Arabidopsis thaliana: one gene and its partners. The protein of the gene in region 2 interacts with the protein of the main gene of each other region in a biochemical or structural test. Each region holds a gene or a part of one and is shown on either strand. Other genes may lie near its edges. The genes, in order: ICE1, HOS1, CO and SCRM2.

Region 1 (4,883 bases), on a different chromosome or scaffold from region 2:
AACATTGAGTTGCTAGTTGATTCAGCACATTCACCAAATTGCTACCAAATGAAGGATATATCGACTACTTGGAAATAAGTTTTCCTTGCACACTAACCATTACCATTTAATTTGATGGAGTTAAAAATAAGCTTTAAGTTGTTCATATTCATCTTTAAAAAATTTCTAATGAGTAAGTTTATTTTGTTCAAGCCATGCTGGATTTATTGAAAACAAAGAGACTATTTTCATATATTTGCAAAGAAACAATATATTGAAACTGGTGAAATAGATACGTCATCCATTTCATCAAAGATCAATCTTCAAGATTCCTATGTGTATTATAGTAGCTTTAAAATAAAGTAAAACTAATATTGAATTATAATTCTTGGGAAGTGTTTATTATTGAAAATCAAATCATGTATAGCTACAGTAAATAAAAAGAAGTAGATAGAAAGAAAGAAAATGCAGTATAAATTTTTAATCTGTGTGAAATGAAAATTTGCAAAATCAATATTCATGAAACGGATAAAATGCACTACCGTACTTGATGCATAAATAAAAAATGGCTGTTTGTACCAATCCACATGTATTATATGCGTTTAACTAGGATTACCAATATTTTTGACCTCTATCCAATTCACCTTCTGCTCTTTTTGTTCTATCTAATTCCACATTCTACCCAATTTACCAAATTCAATTATTATATGTAATTACAATTTAAAATCAATAATTCATGTTTACTATTTCGCGATTAGAGTAAATCCGAGTTTAAAACCTTCCCAACAACATGTCAAAAACACTTTGAAAGCTTGGCCGAGTCTTAAAAAGTTTGACCGAGTCTTAAATTCAGATTTACTCAAATTTCGAAACAATAAACGCGAATTATTGATTATAAATTACAACTACAGAAATAAATGGAAATTGGTTATTTAGGTAGAATTTTATAGTTTGTATGAAATTAGAAAGAAGATAAAAAATACATAATGAATTGGGCTGAGGTCTACTACATAGTGATCCTAATTGAACCCATATAGTATGGGTGGACTGCAACAAACAGCCCATAAAAAAAAAAAAATTCAATGTTTATTAAAACCTTTAAATGAAGGAAACTAAGATAGATAGCCGGAGAACACGTTTAAATCTCCGGAATCTTAGCCGGTAGAAAAACAAATTCTCTAATAATAAAGCATAAACCAAAACTATATAAGCAAAAAGCCAATTTAAGGCACAAAGCCACAATTGAAACTAACAAAACTTTTTAGAAAATGAATCCCTAATTACTTCCTCTAGAAGACTAGAAAGCATATCGCAACACAACTATATTTTTTTGGGAACTCAATTTAGTTGATAATGGTGATAAACGCTACAATCATCAGAAAATTTGGAATTACTCGTCCTTACTTAATTAATGTTTAAAAGACTTATGAAATTAAACTATTTACTTACAAACTTGAGCTTGATGTGGCTTTGTTCAAGAAGCTTAGGAACCATCGAAAAGATGTCGACGCCGGTAAAGTCGAGATATGCGTTACAACATAATTATTTATAATTTTTTAAAAAAATACAAAAAATAAAAGGAAATATATTTAATAGTAAGAATATAAAATAAATTTTATTACCATCTTTTGAAAAAGAACTTTTAAGTACATAACAATAATTAGGTAATAATATGAGTTAAAGAAATGCATGGAAGACACGCGTTGCATGAATGATGCTAATTACACTTTGAAATTATCATCATCATCATTAACTTACTTAAACACTGTCTATATAAAGACAGAGACAGTGACAACAGAGACAGAGAGATAAGCTTAAGCCAAAATTAAGCAGAAAAATGGAGAAATAGTGACGGTGAGAGAGAGAGAGATACGGTAAACGAAGCAAAGCAAAGAGAGTCACGAGAAATCTGGGGTATGTGTTCAATGATAAAGCAATTTCATGGTGGCCGAAATTGAATCCATCAAAAAAAAAGTTTCAATTTTTGAAAGCTCTGAGAAATGAATCTATCATTCTCTCTCTCTATCTCTATCTTCCTTTTCAGATTTCGCTTCTTCAATTCATGAAATCCTCGTGATTCTACTTTAATGCTTCTCTTTTTTTACTTTTCCAAGTCTCTGAATATTCAAAGTATATATCTTTTGTTTTCAAACTTTTGCAGAATTGTCTTCAAGCTTCCAAATTTCAGTTAAAGGTCTCAACTTTGCAGAATTTTCCTCTAAAGGTTCAGACTTTGGGGTAAAGGTGTCAACTTTGGCGATGGGTCTTGACGGAAACAATGGTGGAGGGGTTTGGTTAAACGGTGGTGGTGGAGAAAGGGAAGAGAACGAGGAAGGTTCATGGGGAAGGAATCAAGAAGATGGTTCTTCTCAGTTTAAGCCTATGCTTGAAGGTGATTGGTTTAGTAGTAACCAACCACATCCACAAGATCTTCAGATGTTACAGAATCAGCCAGATTTCAGATACTTTGGTGGTTTTCCTTTTAACCCTAATGATAATCTTCTTCTTCAACACTCTATTGATTCTTCTTCTTCTTGTTCTCCTTCTCAAGCTTTTAGTCTTGACCCTTCTCAGCAAAATCAGTTCTTGTCAACTAACAACAACAAGGGTTGTCTTCTCAATGTTCCTTCTTCTGCAAACCCTTTTGATAATGCTTTTGAGTTTGGCTCTGAATCTGGTTTTCTTAACCAAATCCATGCTCCTATTTCGATGGGGTTTGGTTCTTTGACACAATTGGGGAACAGGGATTTGAGTTCTGTTCCTGATTTCTTGTCTGCTCGGTCACTTCTTGCGCCGGAAAGCAACAACAACAACACAATGTTGTGTGGTGGTTTCACAGCTCCGTTGGAGTTGGAAGGTTTTGGTAGTCCTGCTAATGGTGGTTTTGTTGGGAACAGAGCGAAAGTTCTGAAGCCTTTAGAGGTGTTAGCATCGTCTGGTGCACAGCCTACTCTGTTCCAGAAACGTGCAGCTATGCGTCAGAGCTCTGGAAGCAAAATGGGAAATTCGGAGAGTTCGGGAATGAGGAGGTTTAGTGATGATGGAGATATGGATGAGACTGGGATTGAGGTTTCTGGGTTGAACTATGAGTCTGATGAGATAAATGAGAGCGGTAAAGCGGCTGAGAGTGTTCAGATTGGAGGAGGAGGAAAGGGTAAGAAGAAAGGTATGCCTGCTAAGAATCTGATGGCTGAGAGGAGAAGGAGGAAGAAGCTTAATGATAGGCTTTATATGCTTAGATCAGTTGTCCCCAAGATCAGCAAAGTAAACACTTACTTTGTCTCTTTTATCTCCTTAAGAGCTTGTTTACTTGTTGCTGTTATAGAGAATTGTTGTGTTGTAGCTTTGTAGGGCCTTTGTTGTTGTCAAACTTTGCATGTAGTTGCTTTACTCTTTTGAGGAAGAGGCTCGTGATAGTGTTTTATGGATTTTCGATGAATTTGCAGATGGATAGAGCATCAATACTTGGAGATGCAATTGATTATCTGAAGGAACTTCTACAAAGGATCAATGATCTTCACAATGAACTTGAGTCAACTCCTCCTGGATCTTTGCCTCCAACTTCATCAAGCTTCCATCCGTTGACACCTACACCGCAAACTCTTTCTTGTCGTGTCAAGGAAGAGTTGTGTCCCTCTTCTTTACCAAGTCCTAAAGGCCAGCAAGCTAGAGTAAGGACTATATTCTGTATAACTTTTGCTTAGACTGGAAAGAAGAAAACAAAGATTCATGTTTGAGAGATTACTCTGCTTCTTTTTCACAGGTTGAGGTTAGATTAAGGGAAGGAAGAGCAGTGAACATTCATATGTTCTGTGGTCGTAGACCGGGTCTGTTGCTCGCTACCATGAAAGCTTTGGATAATCTTGGATTGGATGTTCAGCAAGCTGTGATCAGCTGTTTTAATGGGTTTGCCTTGGATGTTTTCCGCGCTGAGGTGATCTTCTACTCTCAGTTGAAAGGTTAAGGATTTGTAGAACAGTTTTAGTAGTAACATGTTTTCTTTTGTCTATCAGCAATGCCAAGAAGGACAAGAGATACTGCCTGATCAAATCAAAGCAGTGCTTTTCGATACAGCAGGGTATGCTGGTATGATCTGATCTGATCCTGACTTCGAGTCCATTAAGCATCTGTTGAAGCAGAGCTAGAAGAACTAAGTCCCTTTAAATCTGCAATTTTCTTCTCAACTTTTTTTCTTATGTCATAACTTCAATCTAAGCATGTAATGCAATTGCAAATGAGAGTTGTTTTTAAATTAAGCTTTTGAGAACTTGAGGTTGTTGTTGTTGGATACATAACTTCAACCTTTTATTAGCAATGTTAACTTCCATTTATGTTTCATCTTAAAGCTATGCTCAAGAATTTTTTTTAAAGTCTTCATCTTTGTTCATGAGTGAACTTCTCAAAGAAGACAGACAAAACATTTGCACATATACAGACAAAACAGTTATGTTAAAGGTATAGCTTTGGTATTAGCTGATGAAATGAGCTTTGATGATGTAAGAGTGAAGAAAAACATTGAGATTTTTAAGAAAAAACAGAGAAAAGAATGGTGAAGGAAGAGGCAGAGCAAAGAATAGACCCTACCATTTTGTTTGTTTTCTTCTTTAAATGCTTACTTAATGTTTTAAGAACTTTTATATACGTTGTATGTATCCGTACAAAAGAAAGATTTAGAGAGATAGAGAGGAGACATAGTTAATGGCGGTTAGAGATAGAAAGAGAGAGTCACGAGAACGTAGAGGATGTGATGAAGAAACGTAAAAGTGGTAGGTCCTTTGAATCTTTTAAAAACCTAACCTTTTTTATAGGGTTTTAATTTAGCTTCTCTGAATTTTTCTATGATTATAATGCATGTAGTAATGAAGTCCTCGTGATTCTAGTTTTTAGTGATGTCCTCTTGATGA
Region 2 (7,758 bases):
AACGAGACAATAAGCATTTGTGAGTTTGGAAAAGACACCAATTTCGCAATTATTGTTATCATATTGAAGACCTGCCAAAAACAAGAACAGAAAAAAAAAGAACAATCCTGTAAGCAACTTGAAAAGAAAGCATCGTATAAAAAGCTAAAGCTTAAGGGAAACTCACGAGTCGCCATGATATGGATCCAACAAACACCTGCGGAATTAAGTAACACGAAAACCTAATATGAGATTATGAATTTCAATACAGATCCAAGGCAGAAACAGAGAATGAAAGATTTAGGTTTTCGGATCATTGGTTATGCTATATTGAAAGATTTAGTTTTAAGGTTTACCTTGTCGACAAATCGGAACAAAAAGTGACGGAACGATAGGAAGAGACCCTATTCTCTCTTCCGAAAACCCTATTTATATATCAGAAACTTGGAACAAGCTTATGCTACTTATTTCCATTTATTAGTTTTGGTAAATAATAAAAAAGTTAAAAATTAAAATTTTGAGAGGAAATTGTGAATGTAAAAAGAAAATGATTTAATCTCAATGTGTTGTTATAACTTCTACGATTCAACAATCAGCTGCACCAATATAAGAAATTAAACATACTCATAATAATAATATCACTCCGCTCATCACAATGATATCTTTAAAATAACTGTCCAAAAAAGGTAGACTAGAGAAGAAATACACAAAATTCAGCACAAAAAATAACAGGAGAACAACGCTCACTGTAACAGTCTCTCTCCCCTCTTTACACAACTTGCTCTACCTCTCTCTCTCTTTCTCTATGCTTTAAACATAATTGATGATGGTCTTTTCGAGTGTTTGTTTCATTTCATCTTGCTGCGAATCTACGTCTCCTCCTTCCCTTCACCGGCATGGAACCAAAACTAGTCAGTTCATCTTCGTCATCGCTTGTTTCATCTGACCGCCATCTCAATCCACCACTGTTATTTCTGCTCTCCGTGGCCAAGACATTGTTGTTGTTGTCCTTTAAGCTGCAATTCATAATACACACAATTGATATGTAGCTCATCCAATATAAGACTAAAAGCCGTGGACATAAGAACCAAACAAAGTTCCTTAGACTGAAACCAAACTGGACTTTATTTTCAAACCAAACGGTAACAATAGTTTTATACCAAACAATACCAGTGTCCTCTACTTTAATGGCACGATTCAGAAAGGAACAAATGGCTAAGAGATAAAGAAGAGAGGAATACCTCGAAGACATGTCCATTGGATCATCCAAATCAACAAAGTTATCTTTGTCTGGTTGCATCCTTGTGCCAAAAAAGGTGGATTCCGGTTTCTGTGAAGATCCATTGAGATGGTTGCTGCTAGATTTCACTGTCACGGGATTGTTAGCTGTGATTCGGCGGAGATAAGGAGAGCTCATATTATTCTCTATGTATCTATCAACATTTACTTCTGGAGAGGATTCTTCAGTCCTTTTCCCTTGGAGCTGGCTGTTCCCACGAGCTCTATTTAGATCTTTGAACGGAGTTGACATTTCACCGAATTTCAGATTCTTGGTTACGCTTCTAACTTCACTCTTTTGTCCTCTATTTGCGTTTGTAAATAACCTTCCATGTGAAAGATCATGGGACGCGTTTCCTATCATATGACCAGGTTGAAAAGGACTGCCATTATTAGCCACTGGCTCTCTAGCTCTGGCATTGTTAGCACTTTGGAGAAAAACGGAATTAGTAGTGGCAAAGGGAACTGAAGAAGTAATCATGTCAGGTGCATCAGGAAGATCAGATTTTTTTGCTCCTTCAGAGGCATCTTCCATCTCAGAAAATTGTCCAGATCTAACTTGCTGCTGCTGAATTACTGGAAGTATATCTATGGCTCTATCCTGTTTCAAAGGAGCAGAGACACGGGAGGTTTAAATGTCCAGTTAAAAAAAGCCAGTATCAAGTAATATTGTACATTCAAGTTTCAGAATACTAGACAATCCTGCAAGCATCAACAGGTTATTAAGCACTAAAACGCAAATGTGAGGATGTAGCCTTTAACAAGGAACTATGGAAGGATCCACTTGTACATGGAAAGTTGGCTGAAATACTTACAACTAACTCTTTTCTCCAATGACTCTGTGATCGCATTCTGAACATAACTTCTTCCCCAATTTGATTGTCGGATACGAAAGCCTCTTCGATTTTCTGAAGCCTAAGATCGACTTGGTATGCCTGGATGTAACGGTAGCGCTGCAGCAATGTGAACAACCAGTAATTTCTAGTCAAAGAAAGACCATATACAAAAGATAATAACTTTCCAGAAAATAAGCATGGTCTATAGTGATGCAGTTTCCCTGGTTGTTCAAATAATTTCATGCTTGTTAACCAACATCCCAGACTACACCAAGCTCGAATTATAAAAGATTGTTGAAGCCACACATCAAATACGAGAACATATACCAGTCTCTATAGAATGAGCTAATTCTATACAGAGCCATCATTGAGATCCCTTATTAAAATTTTCAATATGTAGCTTAAAGCTCGGGAGGTTTAAGCTGCTGTCTAAATATCTATTTGCCTGTTGCTAAAGCTATTCTCGTTCTGAAAAACAATTCTCAGCCCATTGTTCAAGTGAAGTTATTTAAAGTTTGAAAATATAATTACTTACCTGAAGATAAAAGACAACCAAGAGACTACCCACAGCTGATGAGGGGTCATCAGTTGCCGAATCTAATAAGCATCTGTGCAGATATTTCTCCTCATCTGGGTTCCACGGTAACTCAATGATTCGATCAACCAAGTTTCTCCGAATAGAAAGACAGCAGAATTCATTGACAAGTATCTCCATCCATTCCGTCCAACTCCAGATGTCTAGATCATCAGACGCATGTTTCACAGCTCCATTTTTCAAATTATTTTCCTTTACTTTCAAGCAGAGTGTCCTTTGGTATGTGAATGCTTCACTCAAAAGACCACATTCCACTCTCACACGAAGAGCTGTGACAGCTTCACCAATTGAAACCAATTCTGATACACCATCACGACCAGACCAACGCAAGACCATAAGAGCTGTTTCAGGGTTATCCCTTTCTAACAGGACTTGCGCAACTTTGGGGTAGGTTTCTGGACCGCATATTTCAGGTAGAATCCTACAAGCTTCCTGAAATATAATTTGGAAAGTTTGTAAGCTACACCAATTAATAAATGTATGGCACAATAAAATACACGTTTCTATAAGTTTTCCTTGGGAATGCCAAAAGATACCTGGAGTGCCTCCTCTGAGTGATCATCGAGAAGATAAAATACAAAAGACTCCAGCAATGAATGCCTCGTTATGCCAAACGTAGCAGCAAAATCATCTATAGTGTGCTTCCAATATTTTTCAGGGGTAGTCCAATGCCGATCAAACAGGTAGTAAAGAAACTATCTTCTGGTTAAGGAAACCAGCGTAAAGGAAAAACATGGGAATGTTTCCTGATTCAAGTATTCATTAAAAGTAAAGTGCAATGTAATGTGAAACTAGGCGATGACAAAAGGATACAATTGCTTGCTTCGCAACAACCAAATCTGAACCGCCATGTAAAAAGAGCATGTCAGCAGCAGTTCTAAGATTCTCAAATGGATAAGATCCTGAAGTTCCCTCTATTTTGGACCTAAGAAATGATCTCTTATCCTTCTGTAAACGTCCAACTTCTAGGTCGGCACCTATTTCCTGACTGTATTCTGGCTCTCTCTCAAGATTTTCTAAAGCATCCTCAATAAAGAGGGAAGCACTCTGTACACTGCAATCTGAAGACTGGTCTACAGCATCAGGCCATGCACGCTTAACTGCATTTGATTTTCTTTCCCCTACCAGTGCATTCCACGATGTGAAATTCGAATATCGAGACCTCACATCATCCAGAAATCCATGTCTGATGCACCAGACCATTATGTCCAAATGCTGAAATAAAATAAAAAGAATAGGGTAAGCACACGTAAGCTCAGTGATCTTGCACCAATAGCTAAAGAGCTGATCTATTTAAAACACTCTCTGGTCAGAAGCCATAAGGTTATACTCATTTACTATTCAGTATGTCATATAAAGATAGGTTACATATACCCCATCTACATTCACTAATATGCAATGACATTAAAAAAGAAAAGAAGAATAAAGTCACAAAGCTAGGGATAGAAAATCAGATCCAAGCTGATGATGGAAGACCATTATCGTGCCTTTCATACATCTAAATGCAAAGCTTTTACAGTACAAACTTTACTGCAAGCCGTATACAAAACAAGTAACTCATTCTATGACAGAGGCAAACTAAACATTAATGCACGTAGGAAACTTCAATGTACAACGGATATTTCTAAGGGGGATAAAGAGAGTTATTTAAGCATACTTTTGCAAAACTGTTTGGATATCAATGAAATGAAATCATGGCTGACCTGCTTTGTTTTACCAATGTTCTCTCTCAGCGTCTGCACATCTTGAAGCTGAGGTGACACAGAACCCTTAAAAGCTGATTCCATAACTTCGAGCACACTACATATGCCAGCCACCTGTTTGGAACACCTTAGGAGTTTATCTAACCACGCTTGCATCTCTTTTGTTTCAAGATTATCTGAGGGCCAATATTAAAGATAGACAGACCTTACGGTGCACAAATATACAGTCTTAAGAAACATAAAAATATTAACAGCTAAAAGGATACAGATTTCTTGAAGTTCAGCTAAGGTGCTCCGGAATGTACGCTTGACCCAATCCTTGACAACAACTTCATCCAGCAAGAAAGCAATGACCGGATCACTAGATACAGCTGTCTCATCCATACAGACATTGGTGATATCTATTAATTTTCTGTCAAGGAGATGTCAACTATGCATCCAACATAAAATACCTCTTAGAGAATGAATGACAAAAACACTATGCACATTTCGCCCAACAGAGACAAGCATGAAACAAGAACTACCTAAAAATACATGAACCTATCAGTACAAAACTCCCCATATAAACACAGTTCCTAATAGCACAAGCATACGAATCTAAAAGAAATTCATGAAAGTATCAAACAGGAAACTAAAAGACTAAATGCATATATCAGACACCAAGCATAAATGCAACTGAAGGATACAATGGCAAACCACCGAGATCAAATTATTGTTCATAGCAACATCAAACAGAGAATAAAGGCGATGAACATCAGCTGCCAATTGATGTTCATCCTCATCCGAATCCTGTGACGCCTCTTCATGTGTTCGGGAAATCAAACCAGCTTCAACACACTCATAATAGAGACGAAGCCTAAGTCTATCTCCAAATTTTGGTAGCGTACTTCTACAGATAGGACAAACATCACACCTCTGACAACACTCTGTGCACAAGGAGGCATGACCACATGGATTCAACACATAGTTCACAAATCTTCCACAGCTAGCTAAGTCTCTTGTTGCACGACATCGCTCAACTTTTGCCTCATTACATAATTCTCTGAGGTTTATAGATGCCAAATGTTTCAACGCCTCCTGTAAGTTACAAACAATAAATTCGAAATTAACTCTAAGCTCTGCAAAACCCATTTTTTTAAGCTGAACCTAGAAATCCTAAGACCTGAGCTAAACTAATTCAGTGGAGAAATAAAAAGGTATAAAGCGGAAGAACCTGAACAGGCTTGCTACTGTAATTAGGCTGCGTAGGAAGAGATATCGATCTCGCGGCGGAGGCAAAACCGTTGATTTCTCTCGTATCCATCTACTCCGGTGACGAATACAAAAATGGAGGTAAAGAGAGAAAAAGCGTGGTTGGTGTTGGCGAGAGTGATAAAACCAGTCTAGGGCTCCGTTGAGCTTTCTCGGGAGGGAAGACGAAGAGAGGAAACACTGTTGAGTGAATTTCTCCTCAAACGGGTCAAGTCGGATTGTTTAATTCGGGTCAAATTTTAAATATGGGCCTTTCTTTTTGAAGTCTTGTGTGAATCTTGTGATTGTCTGGGCCCAAGTCGGCAAATCACGATTCGGGTCAAAATTTAAATATGGGCCTTTGTTTTTGAAGTCTTGTGTGAATCTTGTGATTGTCTGGGCCCAAGTCGGCAAATCACGTGTCCGAAAGTGAACAGCGCGTGTTTTACCGACTTGCTAAGAAAGCGCGTGGATCGTTCTTTCTTTAGTTTCTCTTCCTTTCCCAATTGCTTCCACGACGACGGAGGAGGAGAAGCAAACCCAGAAACCTTAAAAATTCAGAAAAAGGGACGACCTTTTTTCCGATCTTATCGATTTTTGAATGAGATTAGAAGAACCTATCTTCTAAGTTTTTCTTTGATATCTTTTTCTCTTTGATCGATGGATGAGTCGTTCGCTAATCTACAATCAAGCCATTTGCTTGGTTCAGTTCCGGTAAGTCTATATTACATCTATTGCTTCTTTCATTTCACCATCAATAAGCTCTTTGATTGAGTTTTTCTATGATCCTTGTTTGTGTGAAGGGAAAATTAACGTTTTTTGTTCATGCCATCATTTTGTTTGTTGTTCTGTCTCAAGTGTTACATTAGGAAGTAGAATTTTGAAACTTTTCAGATTTTTTTGTCATATTTTTTCGCGTCCACGATGATGCCTAAAGTCTTCACACTCATAGAACAATGGACGATTTCCTTATTTGCATTTCTGGGTTTCTATATTTGTTAAGGCGTTTTATTTAAGTTTTTTCACCATTTTAGGAGACAATTCGTATGAAAAACAAAACTGTATTTGAGTTTAAATGCTTGCATGATAGCTTCATTTTGGATTGAATCCGCTAAGATAAATGTTTTGAGTGAATGGATTGACTATCCCCGTGTTATTATGTCTGATACAAACATCTGTATTCTTAGGCTGTGATCAGCGACGACAAGAGAAGCACAAATGTACCAATAGCAAGCGTCAATGAAGGTGTGTTCTTTTGCTAGTTTCTGCTTGAATTATCTTTTGCAAAGAACTTTTCCGGTAGTGAAAGACATTGAGTGTTGTATGTCTTCTGCATTATTGCAGGCCCTTCTGCAAGCATGCAAATATTTCCACCGAATCTAGGAAACAATACAAAGGGTTATCAAACTCTTGAGAGCCCAACAGGTATATATGCTCCTTTTAGATTCCTTTTTTAGGAGATATTTTTATCTGTAGTCACCATGAATCAGTACAATGGTTGAAAGAATACTTGTGTGAGTCAACCTCGTTTTTCTTATGGATGTCAAGATCCTATATACCTTTGTTTTCACCTTGTTCTGTCTTATATGGTGATATATCTTATCTGCTCCAGTAGAAGGACCAGCACAACAGCCATCAAACAACTGGAAGGGCTTTTTTAATGTCTACTCATATACCCAATACTTCGACGTGGACACGGACGTTGTTTTGAACAGATTAATGAGCTCTTTATATCCTACTAGTGGAGATTTTTTCAACAAGATTGATGCAAACCCTGATTTGTAAGTCTTTTAATGCCTTTTTCTCCTTCACTCTTCTTGGTGATTGTACTTACCATGAGAGAGTTCTTTCGAATTTCTTTAATCGGTCCATTGCTCAGTCATGCCGTTAATTTGTTACCGTTCTAAGTGTTATCTTCTGCACCTTTCCGAAAGCATGATCTTGCTATTCATTTACTCCTATGTTACTTCAGGCGATTGATTAAAATATCCTCATTTTCTCTTGGACAAATGAACAGAAAGCATCATAATATGTTATCCTCTAAAGATTGGCTAAAAGCTAGGCCTTTCACAAATTATTCTTGATTAATGACTCGTGTGTGCTTCTGTTAGGTATGGACTTGTCTGGATCTGCACTA
Region 3 (5,364 bases), on a different chromosome or scaffold from region 2:
ACTATTTGGTGTGGATTCGAGCTAGCACGTGAAAGTGCATAAAAGTGATTACCTTTTGCCAAAGGTCACTGCACTTTTCCTCAGATAGTTTCTCACAGCCATGGAAAGTGGAGAATCCGCATAAACGTACAATTACAAGCTTTATATGGTCCCTCGACTCTTATTCTCTTCTCAGTCTTTGCAACTAAATAGGGTTTTCGTTAATCTGAAAGAAGCAAAGTATTCGAAACCACGGAAACCTGATAAAGAATGAAAACAAATAAGCAATAGTGTTTTCTTGAAAATCTCGATGCAACTTTGAGGATATTGTTACATATGATCTATTACTCGTAACAGTTATCCGAAGGCCTACACATGTGAGAGAAGTTCCAAACCGCTACAACAATAAACTTAATTAGAGACTGTCAACGAGCAATAATAAGCAAAACTACTTTTTTCTTGAGCTACAAGTGAAAAGGCCAATACACAATTTACTCTTCATGAACTCGAACCACGTTACAATCTCCAAAAAATTTCATCACCAAAGCACTAAAAGCCAAAGATGCCTCAACTTATCCAACTTGGCAGGATAAAGATCTCCAAAAATGCTTACTAAAGAACCTAGAATCTTTTCTTTAGAATTCAATGATCATATAACCATTTCATAACAATTCTAAATGCCATTACATTCATCGTAAAACCAGTAAATAACAAGAACTTGTATGTTAAGTTCCAATTACCAAGCAAAAAAAAACTTTTCAAAGTTTAAAGTTCAAAATGGGAAAGAGAAGTGCGGTGTAAGCAAATATGAAAGAGGAAGAGATGCGAAAAGTGTATCCTAGGACCAGCATTTTATACAAAAAAAAAACACTCACTTTTCAGCTCTTAAGGCATAGAGTGAAGGTAGCCATATGAATTTGGCCACTAGAGCGTCCGTCAAATCTCATTCTTTTTGGACCACATAATGGGTATCATACATTCACTGGACCCAAAAGCGTAACTGGAGCTAGTCCTCAAACCTAGAGAGTATCGTATCCTGTAGCTTCCACATAGTAAACATTATGAGCATAACACCAACAAGGCAACTCCAAGTACTAATGGTTATTAGTACAGGAAAACCCACGATGCTAAACACATGAATGGGTCACCAAATAGAGTGAAGATGGTTAAATTGCATCTATGGATCATGTGGACTAGTAAATGAGTGTAGCAGAAAACTTCACAATTACCTCTGTGATCTTAGAAACATGTCCTGAAAATTCCATACAAGTGTCGTTTGTATTAGATTACTTCCACAGGTTGAGATCTAATAAAGCTACAATAAATAGTATAGAGTATCATCATAAACCCAAATTACAGAGATGTGACAACACTCATGAGTCATGTTTTGTAACTACTTACTATAATGGTTACCAAGTGCAAATTTCTACATACTATATATGATAAATCTAATTATTGCTCATGTGGACTCCAAAATGCCTTTTAAGTTTTAACTTGTGCGTCAGGTAAATTCTAATTTGTAGTCTCAAGACTACTTGGCGGATTCGAGTTTGATCCTAGAAAATCCACCGTCTCTATGTTTTTCATGTCACTTTTCCGATATGATTCTCATTACCATGACTTTATGAACCAGATTAAACATTATAACACTTTTCATCAGAAAATCCTTCGAAAGTTTCAATTGCAAATCTTTCTAAATGATGCAGATGCATTCACAAATAATGGAACAACAACTATACCATATTCACGAGTTTGTCTAACCTTTGTATAGGTAGTCAACCCATAACAGTTGGTGATGGCTCTGACACTCGAAGCCTTACTCGGAGAGATACCTGAACAGTAATCACAAGGTTCAGGATGAATATTCAACCACTTAAACTTTGTATAAAGCCAAAGAGATAAAACGAATCTAGCTTTACTTTAAATAAAATGCATATGAAAATAGTAAAAGGTGATACGAAAAAATAGTAACAATTTGCCTGCAACACCATGGCATTATCCGGACCACTTCCTCTTGAGAATCTCAGTATGGCAAGTGGCAAAACCTAAGCAACTTGTGAACGGGTCCCAACGAAGAAGTGCATAGGAGGAGATGTTTACACTTTACACTTTACACTTTACACTTTACACATAGGCCTTCCCAAAAGCTCAACTAGCTGCAAGAGGATCCAATAACATGTAAGAGCCACTAACGCTGTGCCACGTGTAGGCACTCAGGATTCGATCTCCCCTCTACTTATTCTCTCACACCAGATATAAGCTTTATTAGCCCCTTCTTTCAGATACCAGCTCCCACACCATCAAACTTACTACATCTGAGTTATTATGTTGAAACAAGAGAGTAACGACATAGGTAGTGGAGAGAACAACAGGGCACGACCCTGTGACACATGCCGGTCAAACGCCTGCACCGTGTATTGCCATGCAGATTCTGCCTACTTGTGCATGAGCTGTGATGCTCAAGTTCACTCTGCCAATCGCGTTGCTTCCCGCCATAAACGTGTCCGGGTCTGCGAGTCATGTGAGCGTGCTCCGGCTGCTTTTTTGTGTGAGGCAGATGATGCCTCTCTATGCACAGCCTGTGATTCAGAGGTTCATTCTGCAAACCCACTTGCTAGACGCCATCAGCGAGTTCCAATTCTACCAATTTCTGGAAACTCTTTCAGCTCCATGACCACTACTCACCACCAAAGCGAGAAAACAATGACCGATCCAGAGAAGAGACTGGTGGTGGATCAAGAGGAAGGTGAAGAAGGTGATAAGGATGCCAAGGAGGTTGCTTCGTGGCTGTTCCCTAATTCAGACAAAAATAACAATAACCAAAACAATGGGTTATTGTTTAGTGATGAGTATCTAAACCTTGTGGATTACAACTCGAGTATGGACTACAAATTCACAGGTGAATACAGTCAACACCAACAAAACTGCAGCGTACCACAGACGAGCTACGGGGGAGATAGAGTTGTTCCGCTTAAACTTGAAGAATCAAGGGGCCACCAGTGCCATAACCAACAGAATTTTCAGTTCAATATCAAATATGGCTCCTCAGGGACTCACTACAACGACAATGGTTCCATTAACCATAACGTAAGGCTTTTGTATATTTGTTACCCCTTCAATTTAGCATCTTCCCATAACGCAGCAGGGTGAATTCTTTCATCATACACACAAATCCACTGATCCACTGCCAACAGTTGATCTATAGCACATAGAAATTTCACCAGAAGTCTATAATAAAAACAATATATGCTTCCTTTTGCATCGACTCTCTTTAGTCCTCTTACCAGGGGGATTGAGAATGTCTTTGTTTCTGTCATTAGGCATACATTTCATCCATGGAAACTGGTGTTGTGCCGGAGTCAACAGCATGTGTCACAACAGCTTCACACCCAAGAACGCCCAAAGGGACAGTAGAGCAACAACCTGACCCTGCAAGCCAGATGATAACAGTAACACAACTCAGTCCAATGGACAGAGAAGCCAGGGTCCTGAGATACAGAGAGAAGAGGAAGACAAGGAAATTTGAGAAGACAATAAGGTATGCTTCGAGGAAGGCATATGCAGAGATAAGACCGCGGGTCAATGGCCGGTTCGCAAAGAGAGAAATCGAAGCCGAGGAGCAAGGGTTCAACACGATGCTAATGTACAACACAGGATATGGGATTGTTCCTTCATTCTGATACTCCTGTGGCAAAAAGAAAAACTAGATTGCAAGCTGTAAATTACTTTTAGTTTGAGATTATGTTAGGTTTGGTGAAATTCTTAGCTTCAAGAAGTATTACTACTGTTGTGCAAATGGGTTTGTAGTTTTGGCTAATTAAAACTATAGTATTCTTCTTTCTCTGCATTAGTTAAACAAAACCAGTCTAATTGGTACAGATCCCCATTTGTGAAATATGGATCATCAAGAAGTGAAAACGCAGATTTCACCTTGCTAACTACTAAGAGGGAAGCCAAGGTTCAAAGCCAATAACTTCCCGATAACCTGAACATGTGACACTTTCACGCCTCCCTGACAACAAAAAGATTCTACAATTCAAGTTGATAACACAGACTCCTCAGCTGTAAATCACAACTTCTTACTAAAATGAGTCATATCACGTTCCTAATTGTAGAAACCATCAGCCATATATGTTCTCGGCTTCAAGAACTGTAAGAAGAAATAAGTAATAACAACCAAGTGTATAGCTTATACTATGTGTTAATGTTAAGTGATGGATTCGAGACCTCACGTGAAAAGTTCATAAAGTGATATAAGGATGCTGCACTTTGCACTTTTTTGCACTTTTCCAAAAATCTAAGGATAGTTCAGATCGATTCTCAAAGCCATCAAATTTTAAAACCATTCCCAAACTTTACATGGTCCCTGGGCCTTCATAGATTCTCACTCTTTTAACTTCTTGCTTACAAAAAAAAAACCATTCTCCTTAATCTGAAGTAGGAAAAAGTCTGCAACTACAGCATGAGTTTGACAGAAAAATTATAACACTCTGCTTTCTAAGGTTCTTATCTTGCTTCAATGACCATATACTAAAATAGCAATTTCCTCCACATAATCCACAAAAAACTTTGGTGTCATGTGAAGAAGGCCTGAGAGTAGTTCCTAACTAACCAATAACCATTACAAAGGAAATCCACAGACTGACTAAGAAGAAGTAAAGACAGAACAAATGAAAAATGCCAAAACAGAACAACACAAGCACAGCTATATCTGAACACGCCTTAAAACACCATTTAATATATAATCATCTCTATACTTACCAGAGAGTCAGAAACCAGTATAAACCCTAACATTTATACAAATCGGAATCAGTCACCATCAAAATATAAACCCTAACATTCATTCAAACTGATTTTCGATAAAGAAACTTACTTTCAACCCGTCACAATAGATTTGGGATGATTTTGGATAAATTTGAGGAAAAATATGCGAAATTCAATAGATTGAATATGCAAGGGTTTAAGGATGTGAAATTCAATAGATTGAAAAAACACAATTTTTTGCTCAATTAGATCCAAATTCATCCCAGATCGATTTTGTCTGACGAGCTGAGATTAAAGGAGTTTACCAGAAAACCCCAAATCGGGATTGTGAAGTGAAAAGCCCTAAATTTTGAGCGACGATCGATCATCAAACTTCGAAATATTCAACAATGACGCACGCAACTGGTCTTGTCTAATACTAACGGGCTGGGCCAAAGGATCTGATATAAGGCCCAATTATTCTTGCGCGATAAACTTCTGTTTCAGGGGACGGCCCAAGTAGTCTTCCGAACTAAGCTTATCTTCTTTCAGGAAGTTTCCTTTTTTGTTGTTGCATGATCATTTTCTATCTTTATCTTATCAAAAGATAATAATCTTATCATTCACGATGAGTTATTCTAA
Region 4 (4,432 bases), on a different chromosome or scaffold from region 2:
ACACCGGATCTATGCTTCTGAAAGCTGTGACGGACTTTTCTGCATCCATTCCCTAAAAACACAAGCCATATATGTAGTTAACCCGGCCACTCGGTGGTTTCGACAACTTCCTCCGGCTAGGTTTCAGATTTTGATGCAAAAGTTATACCCCACTCAAGACACTTGGATTGACATAAAACCAGTAGTCTGTTATACAGCATTCGTGAAGGCCAATGATTACAAATTAGTGTGGTTGTATAATTCTGATGCCTCGAATCCAAACCTGGGAGTTACAAAGTGCGAGGTTTTTGATTTTAGGGCAAACGCTTGGAGGTACTTGACTTGCACTCCAAGCTATCGGATATTCCCTGACCAAGTACCAGCAGCTACAAACGGGTCTATTTATTGGTTCACGGAACCATATAATGGCGAAATAAAAGTGGTAGCTCTCGATATTCACACTGAAACGTTTCGTGTGCTACCTAAGATTAATCCGGCCATTGCTAGTTCAGATCCTGACCATATCGACATGTGCACTTTGGATAATGGTTTGTGCATGTCGAAAAGAGAATCGGATACGTTGGTCCAAGAGATATGGAGGTTAAAATCATCAGAAGACTCATGGGAGAAGGTTTATACCATAGATTTGCTTTCTTGTTCTTCTTCTTCTTTATCTGAGTTCCGCGATGGATTTAATTGGACACGAAAAGATTTGGTTGAGCCATCCACACCAGTGGCGATATGCAAGGACAAGAAGATTCTGCTCTCACATCGCTATGCCCGCAATATGATCAAATACGATCCCCAAATAAAATCTATCAGTTTAATTTACCAACCTCCTTTGTGTAGAAGATATGCTTCTTATTTTCAGAGTTTGATCTCTCATATATAAAATGCTTTGATGTATTTGGAAGCATGTAATGTAAGAAACAAAGCATTAATTGTTTGGATTGTTATATTATCCGATAGCATGCTGTTATTCATAAATCATAATAAACCATACTTATTTCGCCAAATGACACTATACTTACCAAAAATCATACTACTTTATGAAATGATACAGATTTTTCAAAAAAATGAGGACGAGTATTTTCGTTAATCCACACAAAAATCAGTTTCATTCTGTGTGTGGATGTAAAAGGAAGATGAAATATAGATTTTATCTTAAAGGGACCATTGCCTCGTTGTTAAAAAAAAGGGACCATTGCATCCGACATCTTTTATCCGTATTAATCTTGAAATGTTTATTCAATATACTTTGTTGCAAGATTTTTTTTTATTCAATATACTTTTGTTATTCATGTCAAAAAAAATTTGATTAATAGCCAATCTATGTAACAATCTAAACACAAGTTTGCCGCTACAATTAATATGAGTCTATGACACACATCACAAAGTTTTGAGAGATTAAAATTCTTTAGTCCCAAATACTTCAAATATAGAAAAAAACTACAATTTTTCTTTTCAAAATTTGTTTATTTTACGGTGACAATTTTTATGATTGCCAACCAAATCCCACATTATTAAGTTTTTCAACCAAACTGAACTGTATACTTATTTTGATTATTAACGGTCGGATTTAGCTTTAACTAAATCATCTTCCTAAGCTCTATCACTGAAATAATTCTGCAGACAAAAAAAAATGAGAGAGAGGTGGCAAAGATGAAGTGGAGGTGAGAGACGGAAAGCAAAAACAATAGTCACGAGAATCAACACCAACTCTTAAACCAAGATAGACCAAGAAACCAAACAGAGTAAATAAATGGTGGCCTTGACAACATTGAAATCCCCAAAAATCTCAACTTTTTAGGGTTTTCGAGCTCTGAAATCTCTCTATCTTTCTTCTTCAGATTTCTCACTTTTTTCTTCTTCATAAGATCCTCGTGATTCCACTTTATAACGTACGCCTCCTTTCAAGAAAAATCTCTCTCTATATTATCTACGTTTCTCTCGCCTTGTCTCCTTTTGAGGTTCCATTTCTACTTCTCTCCAAAATTCGAAACTTTTCCCACTCTCTCTCTCTCTCTACTAGTTTGACATGAACAGCGACGGTGTTTGGCTTGACGGCTCCGGTGAATCTCCGGAAGTTAATAACGGTGAAGCTGCGTCTTGGGTCAGAAACCCAGATGAAGACTGGTTCAATAACCCACCACCACCACAACACACTAATCAAAACGACTTCAGATTCAATGGTGGCTTTCCTTTAAACCCCTCAGAGAATCTGCTTCTTCTTCTTCAGCAATCGATTGATTCTTCTTCTTCTTCTTCTCCGTTATTACATCCTTTCACACTCGACGCTGCTTCACAGCAACAACAACAACAACAACAACAACAGGAACAGTCTTTCTTAGCTACGAAAGCTTGTATAGTTTCTCTTCTCAACGTCCCAACCATCAATAACAACACTTTCGATGACTTCGGCTTTGACTCTGGTTTCTTAGGACAACAATTCCATGGAAATCATCAATCTCCGAACTCGATGAATTTCACTGGCTTAAACCACTCAGTACCGGATTTTCTTCCAGCTCCGGAAAACAGCTCAGGATCATGTGGATTGAGTCCTCTGTTCTCAAACAGAGCAAAGGTTTTAAAACCGTTACAGGTAATGGCTTCATCTGGCTCGCAGCCAACTCTGTTTCAGAAACGAGCTGCAATGCGTCAGAGCTCGAGTAGCAAAATGTGCAATTCTGAGAGTTCTTCTGAAATGAGGAAATCGAGCTACGAGAGAGAGATTGACGATACTAGTACCGGAATCATCGATATCTCTGGATTGAATTACGAATCTGATGACCATAATACTAATAACAACAAAGGTAAGAAGAAAGGAATGCCTGCAAAGAATCTTATGGCTGAGAGAAGAAGAAGGAAGAAGCTTAATGATAGGCTTTACATGCTTAGATCAGTTGTTCCCAAGATCAGCAAAGTAACCAAAAAGATTCTTCCTTTTTTCTCTTTGTTCTCCTTAATAACTTCTTGTGTCACTAATTTTGGGTTGCAAATGTAGATGGATAGAGCATCAATACTTGGAGATGCTATTGATTACCTCAAAGAGCTTTTACAAAGAATCAACGATCTTCACACCGAACTTGAATCTACTCCACCGAGTTCTTCAAGCTTGCATCCGTTAACACCGACTCCACAAACGCTGTCTTACCGTGTTAAGGAAGAGTTGTGTCCATCTTCCTCCTTGCCAAGTCCTAAAGGCCAACAACCAAGAGTAAGAATAAGCTCAATTGCTTTCTAGTGGACAAAGCTGTATTCTTTAATTTTCTTAGTAACGCTTCTTTGTTTTGATATAGGTTGAGGTTAGATTAAGAGAAGGAAAGGCAGTGAACATACACATGTTCTGTGGACGTAGACCAGGTCTTTTACTTTCCACCATGAGAGCTTTGGATAACTTAGGATTGGATGTTCAACAAGCGGTGATTAGCTGTTTCAATGGTTTTGCTTTGGATGTTTTCCGCGCTGAGGTAATATAGTTGTTAAGATGCTATGCTGATCACTGATTAGTAAAACTAGCAGTCAAAGAATAGTTATTTGAGAGAATGATTAGTATACAAGTAACAACATGTTTTGTGTTTCTAATCAGCAATGTCAAGAAGACCATGACGTGTTACCTGAACAAATCAAAGCAGTGCTTTTAGATACAGCAGGTTACGCTGGTTTGGTTTGATTGCGAAGCAGAAGGAAGCATCTGTGTGGAACAGAGCTAGATCTAAGTCCTTGTTCTGTTTTAGTCAGCAATTTTCTTACTTAGTTTCATCAATTTCAATCATGTATGGAAGATGATAACTGTTTTATTTTAGCTATGAGAACATGTGTTTGGGGAACAATAGTTGCAACCTTTGAGCAAAATGCCATTGTTTCTCAATAATTCTACTTTGCTTTTCATTTATATGTTGTTTGCAAGAAGAGAGCAATGTTGATTTTCATTGATAAAACACACATGAGTCTGTCATGAGAAAAGGCTAAACAAAATATTAAGAAATGCACAATTCATAGGCAAACGCTCTGATATATCAATTTTTCAGAACAGAGATGAATCTCTATGTAAAATTCATATTCTTTATAAATGTCTGAGCTTGGTTCAGTTTAGTAAGATTTGGTTTGTGCCGTGGGCGACTGAAGATGTTAAAGACAAAAACATAATGGAACCAGATAAACTTGGCTAATTGGTAAGAATTAAAAGAAAATCTATGGTATAAATCTTCTCCCATGTGTCTTCTGATGATTTCTTCAGCCTCCAAATATTTTGGATCAGCTTATCTCCTTCTCTTTTCGACATGCACAAAGCATTATCCAGAGTGTATATATGGCTAGGATCTAAACTAGCAATAGCGGGAACTATCTTTGGCAGCAACCGGAATTTTTCTGTAATGATATCGAAAACTATTACTTTGATTTCAGCATTATATAGCTCTGTGAACCAATAAAGCGTCCCGTTTACAGATGC

What was found.
Region 1: the proteins of HOS1 (region 2) and ICE1 form a complex in vitro, tested with the Arabidopsis thaliana proteins (4 studies listed by BioGRID, with this or other methods).
Region 3: the proteins of HOS1 (region 2) and CO form a complex in vitro, tested with the Arabidopsis thaliana proteins (2 studies listed by BioGRID).
Region 4: the proteins of HOS1 (region 2) and SCRM2 form a complex in vitro, tested with the Arabidopsis thaliana proteins (one study listed by BioGRID).

The regions. Positions count from the first base shown.
Region 1 is NC_003074.8:9,832,146-9,837,028, reverse strand, and holds ICE1 (basic helix-loop-helix (bHLH) DNA-binding superfamily protein), read left to right. Parts: upstream 1-1,756; 5' UTR 1,757-1,893; exon of another isoform or gene 1,894-2,140; 5' UTR 2,141-2,238; coding exon 2,239-3,243; coding exon of another isoform or gene 3,244-3,330; exon of another isoform or gene 3,331-3,425; coding exon 3,426-3,650; intron 3,651-3,742; coding exon 3,743-3,913; coding exon of another isoform or gene 3,914-3,943; exon of another isoform or gene 3,944-3,992; coding exon 3,993-4,076; 3' UTR 4,077-4,362; downstream 4,363-4,883.
Region 2 is NC_003071.7:16,610,877-16,618,634, reverse strand, and holds HOS1 (ubiquitin-protein ligase), read right to left. Parts: upstream 5,859-7,758; 5' UTR 5,695-5,858; coding exon 5,605-5,694; intron 5,469-5,604; coding exon 5,078-5,468; intron 4,793-5,077; coding exon 4,658-4,792; intron 4,568-4,657; coding exon 4,392-4,567; intron 3,904-4,391; coding exon 3,502-3,903; intron 3,384-3,501; coding exon 3,225-3,383; intron 3,121-3,224; coding exon 2,629-3,120; intron 2,211-2,628; coding exon 2,073-2,210; intron 1,859-2,072; coding exon 1,221-1,858; intron 996-1,220; coding exon 833-995; 3' UTR 513-832; downstream 1-512. Other genes in the region: eIF6B (Translation initiation factor IF6), read right to left, coding at 1-71, 167-176; AT2G39805 (Integral membrane Yip1 family protein), read left to right, coding at 6,282-6,335, 6,809-6,866, 6,966-7,046, 7,234-7,402, 7,733-7,758. UniProt on the Arabidopsis thaliana protein: E3 ubiquitin-protein ligase that mediates ubiquitination and subsequent proteasomal degradation of the transcription factor ICE1. Acts as a negative regulator of cold signaling pathways.
Region 3 is NC_003076.8:5,169,638-5,175,001, reverse strand, and holds CO (B-box type zinc finger protein with CCT domain-containing protein), read left to right. Parts: upstream 1-1,916; 5' UTR 1,917-2,304; coding exon 2,305-3,066; coding exon of another isoform or gene 3,067-3,207; exon of another isoform or gene 3,208-3,299; coding exon 3,300-3,659; coding exon of another isoform or gene 3,660-3,664; 3' UTR 3,665-3,953; coding exon of another isoform or gene 3,954-3,991; 3' UTR 3,992-4,098; coding exon of another isoform or gene 4,099-4,108; 3' UTR 4,109-4,840; downstream 4,841-5,364. Other genes in the region: AT5G15843 (uncharacterized protein), read right to left, coding at 2,620-2,773, 3,091-3,207, 3,306-3,664, 3,954-3,991, 4,099-4,108. UniProt on the Arabidopsis thaliana protein: Transcription factor that acts in the long day flowering pathway and may mediate between the circadian clock and the control of flowering.
Region 4 is NC_003070.9:4,382,741-4,387,172, forward strand, and holds SCRM2 (basic helix-loop-helix (bHLH) DNA-binding superfamily protein), read left to right. Parts: upstream 1-1,563; 5' UTR 1,564-2,017; coding exon 2,018-2,902; coding exon of another isoform or gene 2,903-2,983; coding exon 2,984-3,196; intron 3,197-3,278; coding exon 3,279-3,449; coding exon of another isoform or gene 3,450-3,458; exon of another isoform or gene 3,459-3,568; coding exon 3,569-3,652; 3' UTR 3,653-3,911; downstream 3,912-4,432. Other genes in the region: AT1G12855 (F-box family protein), read left to right, coding at 1-871; AT1G12870 (F-box and associated interaction domains-containing protein), read right to left, coding at 4,389-4,432. UniProt on the Arabidopsis thaliana protein: Mediates stomatal differentiation in the epidermis probably by controlling successive roles of SPCH, MUTE, and FAMA. Functions as a dimer with SPCH during stomatal initiation.